Macaca fascicularis: one gene and its partner. The protein of the gene in region 1 interacts with the protein of each later gene in a biochemical or structural test. Links are inferred from orthologs where the notes say so. Each region holds a gene or a part of one and is shown in the gene's direction. Other genes may lie near its edges.

Region 1 (4,355 bases):
AAGCTAGGATTACAGGCGTCAGCCACCGCGCCCAGCCTCAAATGCCTTTATATATCAAAACGATCAGTATGCCAAAGCTCGGGTGGCAAGCTGTCAACTCCAGCACCTAGCATGGTGCACACAGTGGACACCAACCGAGTATACCCCCCTCACGTGGCTCACATTTCCTTTGTAACTCTCCCAGCAAAGCTCTACTGCACGCTGCATCTTACCCGTTTACATTTCTCTTTTCCCCCCTTGACTGAGTTTCATAATCACTGGGACTGTTTCTTTTTACTTTTGCATCCCTTGGGCATAAAAGTGCCTAGGAAGCGGGGCGCGGTGGCTCAAGCCTGTAATCCCAGCACTTTGGGAGGCCGAAGTGGACAGATCATGAGGTCAGGAGATCAAGACCATACTGGCCAACATGGTGAAACCCGGTCTTTACTAAAAATACAAAAATTAGCCGGGAGTGGCGGCGCACGCCTGTAGTCCCAGCTACTCGGGCGGCTGAGGCAGGAGAATTGCTTGAACCCGGGAGGTGGAGGCTGCATTGAGCCGAAATCACGCCACTGCACTCCAGTCTGGGCGACAGAGCGAGACTCTGTCTCAAAAAAAAAAAAAAAAAAAAAGTAAGTGCCTAGGATAAGAAGACCGGAGTGTAAATCAATCTCAGTTGAATGAGGAGGGCTTAATAGTCCCGAGTTCTGCTTTTTTTTTTTTTTTTTTTTTTTTTTTTTTTTGAGACGGAGTCTCCCACTGTCGCCAGGATGGAGTGCAGTGGCGCGATCTCCGCTCACTGCAGCCTCCGACTCCCTGGTTCAAGCGATTCTCCTGCCTCTGCCTCCCAAGTAGCTGGGACTACAGGCATGCGCCGCCACGCCCAGCTAATTTCCGTTTTTTTTTTTGTTTTCAGTAGTGACGGGATTTCACCACGTTGGCCAGGATGGTCTCGATCTCCTGACCTCGTCCGCCTCGGCCTCCCAAAGTACTGGGATTACAGGCATGAGCCACCGCGCCCGGCAGAGTTCTGCTTTTTAAATTATTCCAGGCACTTTTTACGGTGTTTTTCACTCTCAATGCCAATTCACGCTGTGGTGACGATGTACCATCCAATCCTTGATACGAAAGATGAGAGAATCTGACCAAGACTAGAAGGAGAGGTTGCAATTTTTCATCAGATGAAAAATCCAGAGGATGTTTTCATTGTTGAGCTAAATGAACTTGCGAGTCTACGCTGCCCTCTAGGGCGGCCTACAGTGCCTTTAGGTGGGTAGCAGGAGCAACGCAAAACTTAATAGATGTTTCCCTGCGGAGAAATTCCCCGATCCAACTTACTTTAATGGAAAAAGGGAAACCCGACGGGTGGGTCAGCACCGGAAATGGGGGCGCGGGTTCGGGTAGCGGGGACGCGCACGCACCTTGCACGTCTCCGCCCCTCCGGCGGTTGCCAGGCAACCAGCTCCGGAAGTTGCGGGAGGTGCGTCCGCAGCGGGCGCCGCTAGCCAGCGGAAGATGGCGGAGGGCGGCGGCCCTGACCCCAGCGAGAAAGAAAGGAGGTCTTCCGGACCGCGGCCTCCGAGCGCGCGGGATTTGCAGGTGAGGCGAGCAGCTCGTGGAGGGAGCGCTGCGGTGGATGCGGGCTGGTGATGGCGCGGGCGGGTGCGAGTCGGAGGCCGCCTCTGGCCTCGGCGGAGCCTTTCCCTGACCCAGTCTGGGGATGGAATCGTGACTCCGGCGCCCGGTCTCCCGAGGTCGGCGCTTAGCACTGTGATGGTAGCGGACACAAGTGCCCGAGCCTCCAGCGCTGGTGCTTCGTCTCCCTTCCACCCCAAGTACGATGTAAAAATAGCTATTCGTTTAGAATGACATTTTGCGAGGTCAGTTGGTTGGTTCACGGGTTGATGCTTTCTTCTTGAGACTTACTCCAGAGGAAAGGTTGCTGTGGCCGCAGGGAAGTGGGCAATCACCTGAACAGTAATGATACGTAATTTGTTCTTTTTTGTCTTGGATGCTATTTCTGACTTGCTTACTTAAATATAAAAATGGTTCCATTTTATCAGGTGGCTTTTTCTTTTAAAGGGGTTAAGGAAAGCGATGCACGCTATGCCCATACAGCCTAGTTGTCTAAGCTGTGGTCTTTAAAACATTGCACACAAGAAACAGGGAAATAAAACTTCGTAATGTCGTGTAGGACACTAGTATTAGTTAGCTAAATACTAGTGCACCAAATCCCGTGTTATCAGATACTAACGCCGCTTTTCTCATTTTCGGCTTTTTTGTGTCTCATTATAAGATTATTGATAAAAATTTAACAAGTAAATATCAGTAAGGAGATACTAAGGAGAATTTTGGTAGAACAGTTTTACTGTATTACTTTACAACCACACTTCATTCTAATGTGAACAAACCACCATCCATTGTAACATACTGCTGAGCTTTGGGCATGTGGAAATAAGGACATCAAATCCTTAGTCGGTGCTGAGCTCTGTTGATGGGTATGTAAGTGTAAAAGACATGTCTACCTTTTGGAAACCTACAGTTTTCTTCGGAGAAATAGGATATGAATACATTTAGCATAACATTTTAAGATGGAGTATGACTGGGTGCCAAAATAAGCAGTGCATAAAGCGAAGAATTTGAAGACTGCAGAGATCAGTGTAAGTTTAGAAGGTGAACTCAATGTAGAATAGCTCCAGCTCACATAGTTGGTTCAGTAGTAGTAAACAGTATCAAGAGTTAGGAGGCTATTGTGTACCTCATCTTTCCTATTATAAACCCACATCACTGAGAGGCAGCATAGAGTTAGTAGTCCCACCAATTTTGGTTTGCCTCTTAGTCCTGCTACTTAGTAGTTTTGTGAACTTAGGAGAAAAGTCTTAACCTGTCTGATCCTCATATGTCTTCATTTGTAAACTGAGGAGGGTCGGGGTGCTGGTGGTGGTGTAAGGATTAAATAGTGTTGTAAAGGGCCTATGCAAAATTCCTACATTATCCTGGTCAAGTTGTTGCTGGGCAAATATTTGGTTCCTTTTTCCTCAAAGGAGAAAGATGCTGTAACTTTCCCTGGCTAGTCACTTCTAATATCATTAAAGTTAATGCAGTATGTAACTTAATGTCCTTTCTCTAATTTAAATCCATTTCTTCTTTTTATATGAAAAGTGAGAATAGCTTGGTTAATGACCACCTGATTCTTGGCAAATTATTTGCAGACTTAATCCAGTGGATCAAAGTATGATTAATGTTTGGAGATACTCTGGTAGATGTTGCTAATTGTGAGAATGCCTTCATTTCCACCCTAAGTTATGATGGGGATTTTTTTTTTTTTCATCTCCTGTCTAGTTCTGGTAGGTTAGGACAGTAGGAAGATAACTGATTTCTTTATGAATGTGATTTGGTGTATCAAGTACAGTATCTAAGTATTGATAATCTTTCCTTTAGAACTTAATATGAATGTGAAGAACTTGCAAAGAAACTTGAAAACAGCCAAAGGGATGACATATCAAGAAATAAAGTATGTATCAAAAGTTTAAAAGAAATAATGTTCTTCCCAAATGGTATCTTGGATATTGATTATTTATAGATTATCTTGTTATGTTTAATCTAGACATGCTTATCTTAAGAGTTACCCAGTTGGTGCAGCTTTCAGTAGATATTTCTTACTTCTCTAACAGCTTGCTGTAAGAGTCTTTCAGAGTGAGTAAAGGGGCAACATATTACTAATTGGAACAAGCAGAATTACCCCTAAGTAAGTGTATCTTAGCCCCATGCAGTGTAGGGTTTCTCAGTATCTAAATCAGGAGGGAGTGTTCCAGGTACCACCAGAGAAAAGCTACATAGTTGCTTCCCAAAAGGCTTCCCAGCCTTGGGAGCCCCCAAGTTACAAACTGCAGACTTGGAACTCTTTTTTGCATATCAGAGTAGATTTTCATAGCTCCCTTCATCCACCTCAAATAAGGAAACGGTCAGTGGGAAAGTTAGGGGTGGGATTGTTAGTGGCAAAACTAAGCCCAAAACCTCATCAGTGTTCAATAGTATTTCTGAATTGCTTTCTCTTCTGGTGTCCCTCAGCCCATCCACACACAAGTTCATTAAGGTATTTAGTTGTATACTCTGTCCCAGTTTTGCTCCACATATTATGTGTTTCTGTATAGGTTGGACAGGTAGGAAGTGAGAACAGGGATAACTTCAGTATTACCAGGGTTAGGATTTGGATTTGTTAGGATGGACTCAATAGTGGGCACTATAAAGGCGAAGAATTAAAATGCCTGATAACTGTTGCCACAAGGACCCTAATCCTATTGAATATCATTATTCTGTATTGTTGATTCTCTAGTGTGCATCTATGACCTGGGAAGGCTTGTCAAAGATTGCTG
Region 2 (3,811 bases), on another chromosome or scaffold:
AGCCTTATTTGGATCATAATGCAAGTGAACTAAGGGAAGAAATGTTAAGACAGTTGAGGAAATGCGAACACTGACAATCTTTGGTGATACTGAGGAATTACTGTTAATTTTTTTAAGTGTTTTAAGGGGTGAGTGTGCGTGTTTGTGTGTCTGCATGAGTCTGTATACCACTGATGTGCATGCGTGTGTCTGTGTAGTGTGCATATGTGCCTTTGTGTCTTTGTGCATGCGTGTGTGTGTGCATCTGTGTGTGTCTTAGTCCTTTTCAGCACATATGCTGAAGTAGGTTCCAATGAAATGAAATGAGGAAGTGCTTAACAGGGTGTCTGTCGCCTCAGCAGGGAGAGCAGCTCTCTCTGCCTCCGCACAGAGGAGGCTGGCTCCGGTGTGGAGAGTCCTCGTGAAATCCAATGGGCTTCTCTGCTGGAGTGAGTTCATCAGTCTCCCCATTGAGAAGTGTGTTTAAATTATTCAGTGAGCCTCTTTGATCCTATCTGTTGAACTATGTTTTGTTTTGTTTTGCTCTTTGCAGAGGGAAGTGTTTGTAGATGCTGGGCCACCTTCCAAAGTGATAAAAGGCCCATCCTAGAGCATCTGATGTGCCCAGCACGATCTAGATTCTAATGGCCTGGTTTATTGCCACAAACAAACAGAGAAAAGCTACGTAGGAGGCAGGCTGCTGCCAGTTCTGCGGCTCTGGGAGTCACGGAAAGGCAGTAGTGCTGCCCTGCTCACCTGCACTCAGCTACTTCCTCCCCTCCTTCCCACTAACAGCTTCAAAACACATTTCCCTTCTCTGAAAGTTCAAAGGCACAGATGAATGTTTGGAGACCTTTGCCAATATCTGAATTCAGGGAATTCAGAATGCTTAAAACATCACTATTGTTGGAGCAGGGTTCACCCTTGCCACATTCTCCAGGTCCTCAGCAAACTTTCTCATTGGTTCCTCCTCAGGGTTTGAGCTGGATCTGGGCACCAAACAGCCCCAGACCTCGGCCAGAAGCAGCTCTTCACCAATGCCTCCTGTTAATGGGGTTCTGAACAAACCTCTTTTTCTAATTTTTTTCAGAAGAACATGAGCTGCCTGTGGACATGGAAACCATCAACCTGGACAGAGATGCAGAGGTAATGCTGCCTGCTCAGCCCAGCCTTGAGCATGGTGATGGACCACCTGTCAGGTTATCTTGTATGAGATTAGTAAGTTACTTCCCTAAAGAGGTTGCCTGAGCCTCCCTTGGTTGGATCAGAGTCCTGTGTTCATGTTGTTTTTCTTACCAGTGATTGTTATCCCCATGTCTATTTGACCCTTGAGGATTGTGTGGCAGATGAGATGCCTTTGACTCATACATTCTCTGGGTCTGATGATTACATTATACATGAGGGTCCCAACAGCCGCAGGCTGTGTATGACTGGCCTGGCCGCTGGGCCTCCTGAGCCCCCAGCGTGTCTCTGATGGTGATGGGATGGGGTGCATATCCTAAGAGCCTGAGCTTATGTTTTGTGCATACAGGATCTAGGGAATGAGAAAAAGATGTCATGTACCAATCATTTTAAGGGCCAGTTTTACATAAAACTAAGTCATCACTAAACCAAAGAGCCCCCGCAGCACACCTTGTCACCGACACCTGTCTGCTGCAGACCCACCTGGCACTGCCTCCCCCACTGCTGCCCACTCCCAGGCCTCCTCTGATGGCTCCTCTTCTAGGACACAGGTCTCCAGCCACTTTGCTATAGCCGAGTATACATTTCCGCTTTGTTTCAGGATGTTGATTTGAATCACTGTCGCATTGGGAAGATTGAAGGATTTGAGGTACTGAAGAAAGTGAAGGTGAGAGGGACTCTTATGAGGGGACTATGACCCATATCACCCATAGGATGTGGATAAGTCCAGAATCGAGCCATCAGTCCCAAGTTGTGGTCTTTGTCTCAGCCTGTGGGAGGCGTGGCTGCCTCCACCTTGTAGCAGGCCTTTACTGGGAGCACAGCAAGTGTGAGACAGCAGTCGAGGGACTTGAGGCACAGCCCTGGGGCTGGCTCTCCTGAGCTCAGGCGGCCAGTGACCTGTGACTCTGGCCTGCCTCAGTTCTGTGCCTGTGTTCAATTAGGCACTCAGTGAATTTTATGGTCCTCCGTGCATCTCATTTGAATTTGTTTCTCAAAATTGAGCCCACCATAGGTTCTTATGTTCTGCCAGGAAGTGGCAAACACCCATACCCCAGGCCAACGCCTCCCTCCTCAACTAGGCCTGCTTGGTGGGGGGCCTGCCTCCTGCTTCCTTTTGGGTTCCTGCCCATCCTCAGGTGTGTCGAGGAATTCTAGCTTAGTGCCCTTGCCCACCTACCTCTCAAAGGTCAGCACCTTTCTAGGAAACAGCAGGAGAATGAAGACACGTCCTTCCACCAGAAGGGCCTGTCCTGTGTCCTCCAGTACCAGCTGAGGCCTTCTCGTGGCCTCCCCCGTGCCGGTGTCAATTGTCCTTTTCCCATCCCCCAGACTCTCTGCCTCCGCCAAAATTTAATTAAATGCATTGAGAATCTGGAGGAGCTACAGAGTCTTCGAGAGCTGGATCTTTACGACAACCAGATCAAGAAGATTGAGAATCTGGAGGCGCTAACAGAGCTGGAGTGAGTCATGAGACCCACAGGAGAACAGCATGGTGGGGAGGCCACTGGGTGGGGGTGTCCAGTCTCTCCAGAGCCCCCCTCCTGCTGGCTCTTGGCCCTTGAGAGGCTGCCTCTGCCACAGGGTCCTGCCCTGCGTCTGAATCCCAAGGCTCTGCCTGCCATGTTCAGGGCTCCAGGAGGCCACGTTGGCTTCACGCATGTCTTCGGCTTCCTGGACAATCCTGACTTGCAAAGTAAACCTTTGATGGGAAGGCTGCAGTGGGGACTTCTGGAAAAGCCTCCATTCAGGGATGATACTGAGATTGGTCGAGGGGAAAGTTAATCCAGAATTTCCTCTTGCCTTTTGAATACTCTTTTTTTAAATTAAAAAAAAAAAAAAGTGACATTTATAATTTAAGGAGTCAGGTTCTACGCCAGGTGCAGTGGTGCATACCTGTAATGTCAGCGCTTTGGGAGATCAAATTAGGAGGATCACTAGCCCAGAAGTTTGAGATAGCCTGGGCAACATAACAAGACCCTGTCTACAAAAATTAAAATTAAAAAAGAAGGAGCCAGGTCCTAGTTATAACTTTACCTGGATTTCTGCCCTCTGTTGCTCATTCATTTTTGCTTGTTTTGTTTCTAATTCGGTACTTCTCAGGCCCCTTCTGTGTGCAGAGCCTGGTGCAAGGTCCTGTCATGGGCACAGGTGTGAATGTAACAGTTTCTGCCTCAAATACCATCCTGGGATCCAGGGCATCAGGAGCCTGTAGGCTGCCTCTGGCTTGCTGCGGGCTCCTGGGCAGCCTCCAAATCCCTCATGACAGCATCAGTGTGAGCCAGGCGGCAGCAGGGGCACAGACCGCACCCCCTGCCCCACCCCACCCCACCCTGCCCCGTCCCACAGTGACTGCAGTCCCCTAATGGGGTGCTACCTTTAGGGTGGTTGAATTGTGAGTTCTCTGCAACCTATGCTCATGTAATTTTTTTAAAAACCTGTTTTGGTTGTTCTCAGGATTCTAGATATTTCTTTTAATCTGCTGAGAAACATCGAAGGGGTTGACAAGTTGACACGACTGAAAAAACTCTTCTTGGTCAACAATAAAATCAGTAAAATTGAGAACTTAAGCAACTTACATCAACTACAGATGCTAGAGCTGGGATCTAACCGCATCCGGGTAGGTGCAGACAGCCCTGACTAGTATATT

The links.
Region 2: the proteins of UBXN2B (region 1) and PPP1R7 form a complex in vitro, tested with the Homo sapiens proteins (2 studies listed by BioGRID). The link is inferred for Macaca fascicularis from reciprocal best matches to the Homo sapiens genes UBXN2B and PPP1R7.

The regions. Positions count from the first base shown.
Region 1 is NC_088382.1:68,396,060-68,400,414, forward strand, and holds the start of UBXN2B (UBX domain-containing protein 2B), read left to right. Parts: upstream 1-1,461; 5' UTR 1,462-1,494; coding exon 1,495-1,578; intron 1,579-4,355. UniProt on the Homo sapiens protein: Adapter protein required for Golgi and endoplasmic reticulum biogenesis. Involved in Golgi and endoplasmic reticulum maintenance during interphase and in their reassembly at the end of mitosis.
Region 2 is NC_088386.1:137,086,563-137,090,373, forward strand, and holds part of PPP1R7 (protein phosphatase 1 regulatory subunit 7), read left to right. Parts: intron 1-1,069; coding exon 1,070-1,125; intron 1,126-1,762; coding exon 1,763-1,828; intron 1,829-2,493; coding exon 2,494-2,624; intron 2,625-3,618; coding exon 3,619-3,781; intron 3,782-3,811. UniProt on the Homo sapiens protein: Regulatory subunit of protein phosphatase 1.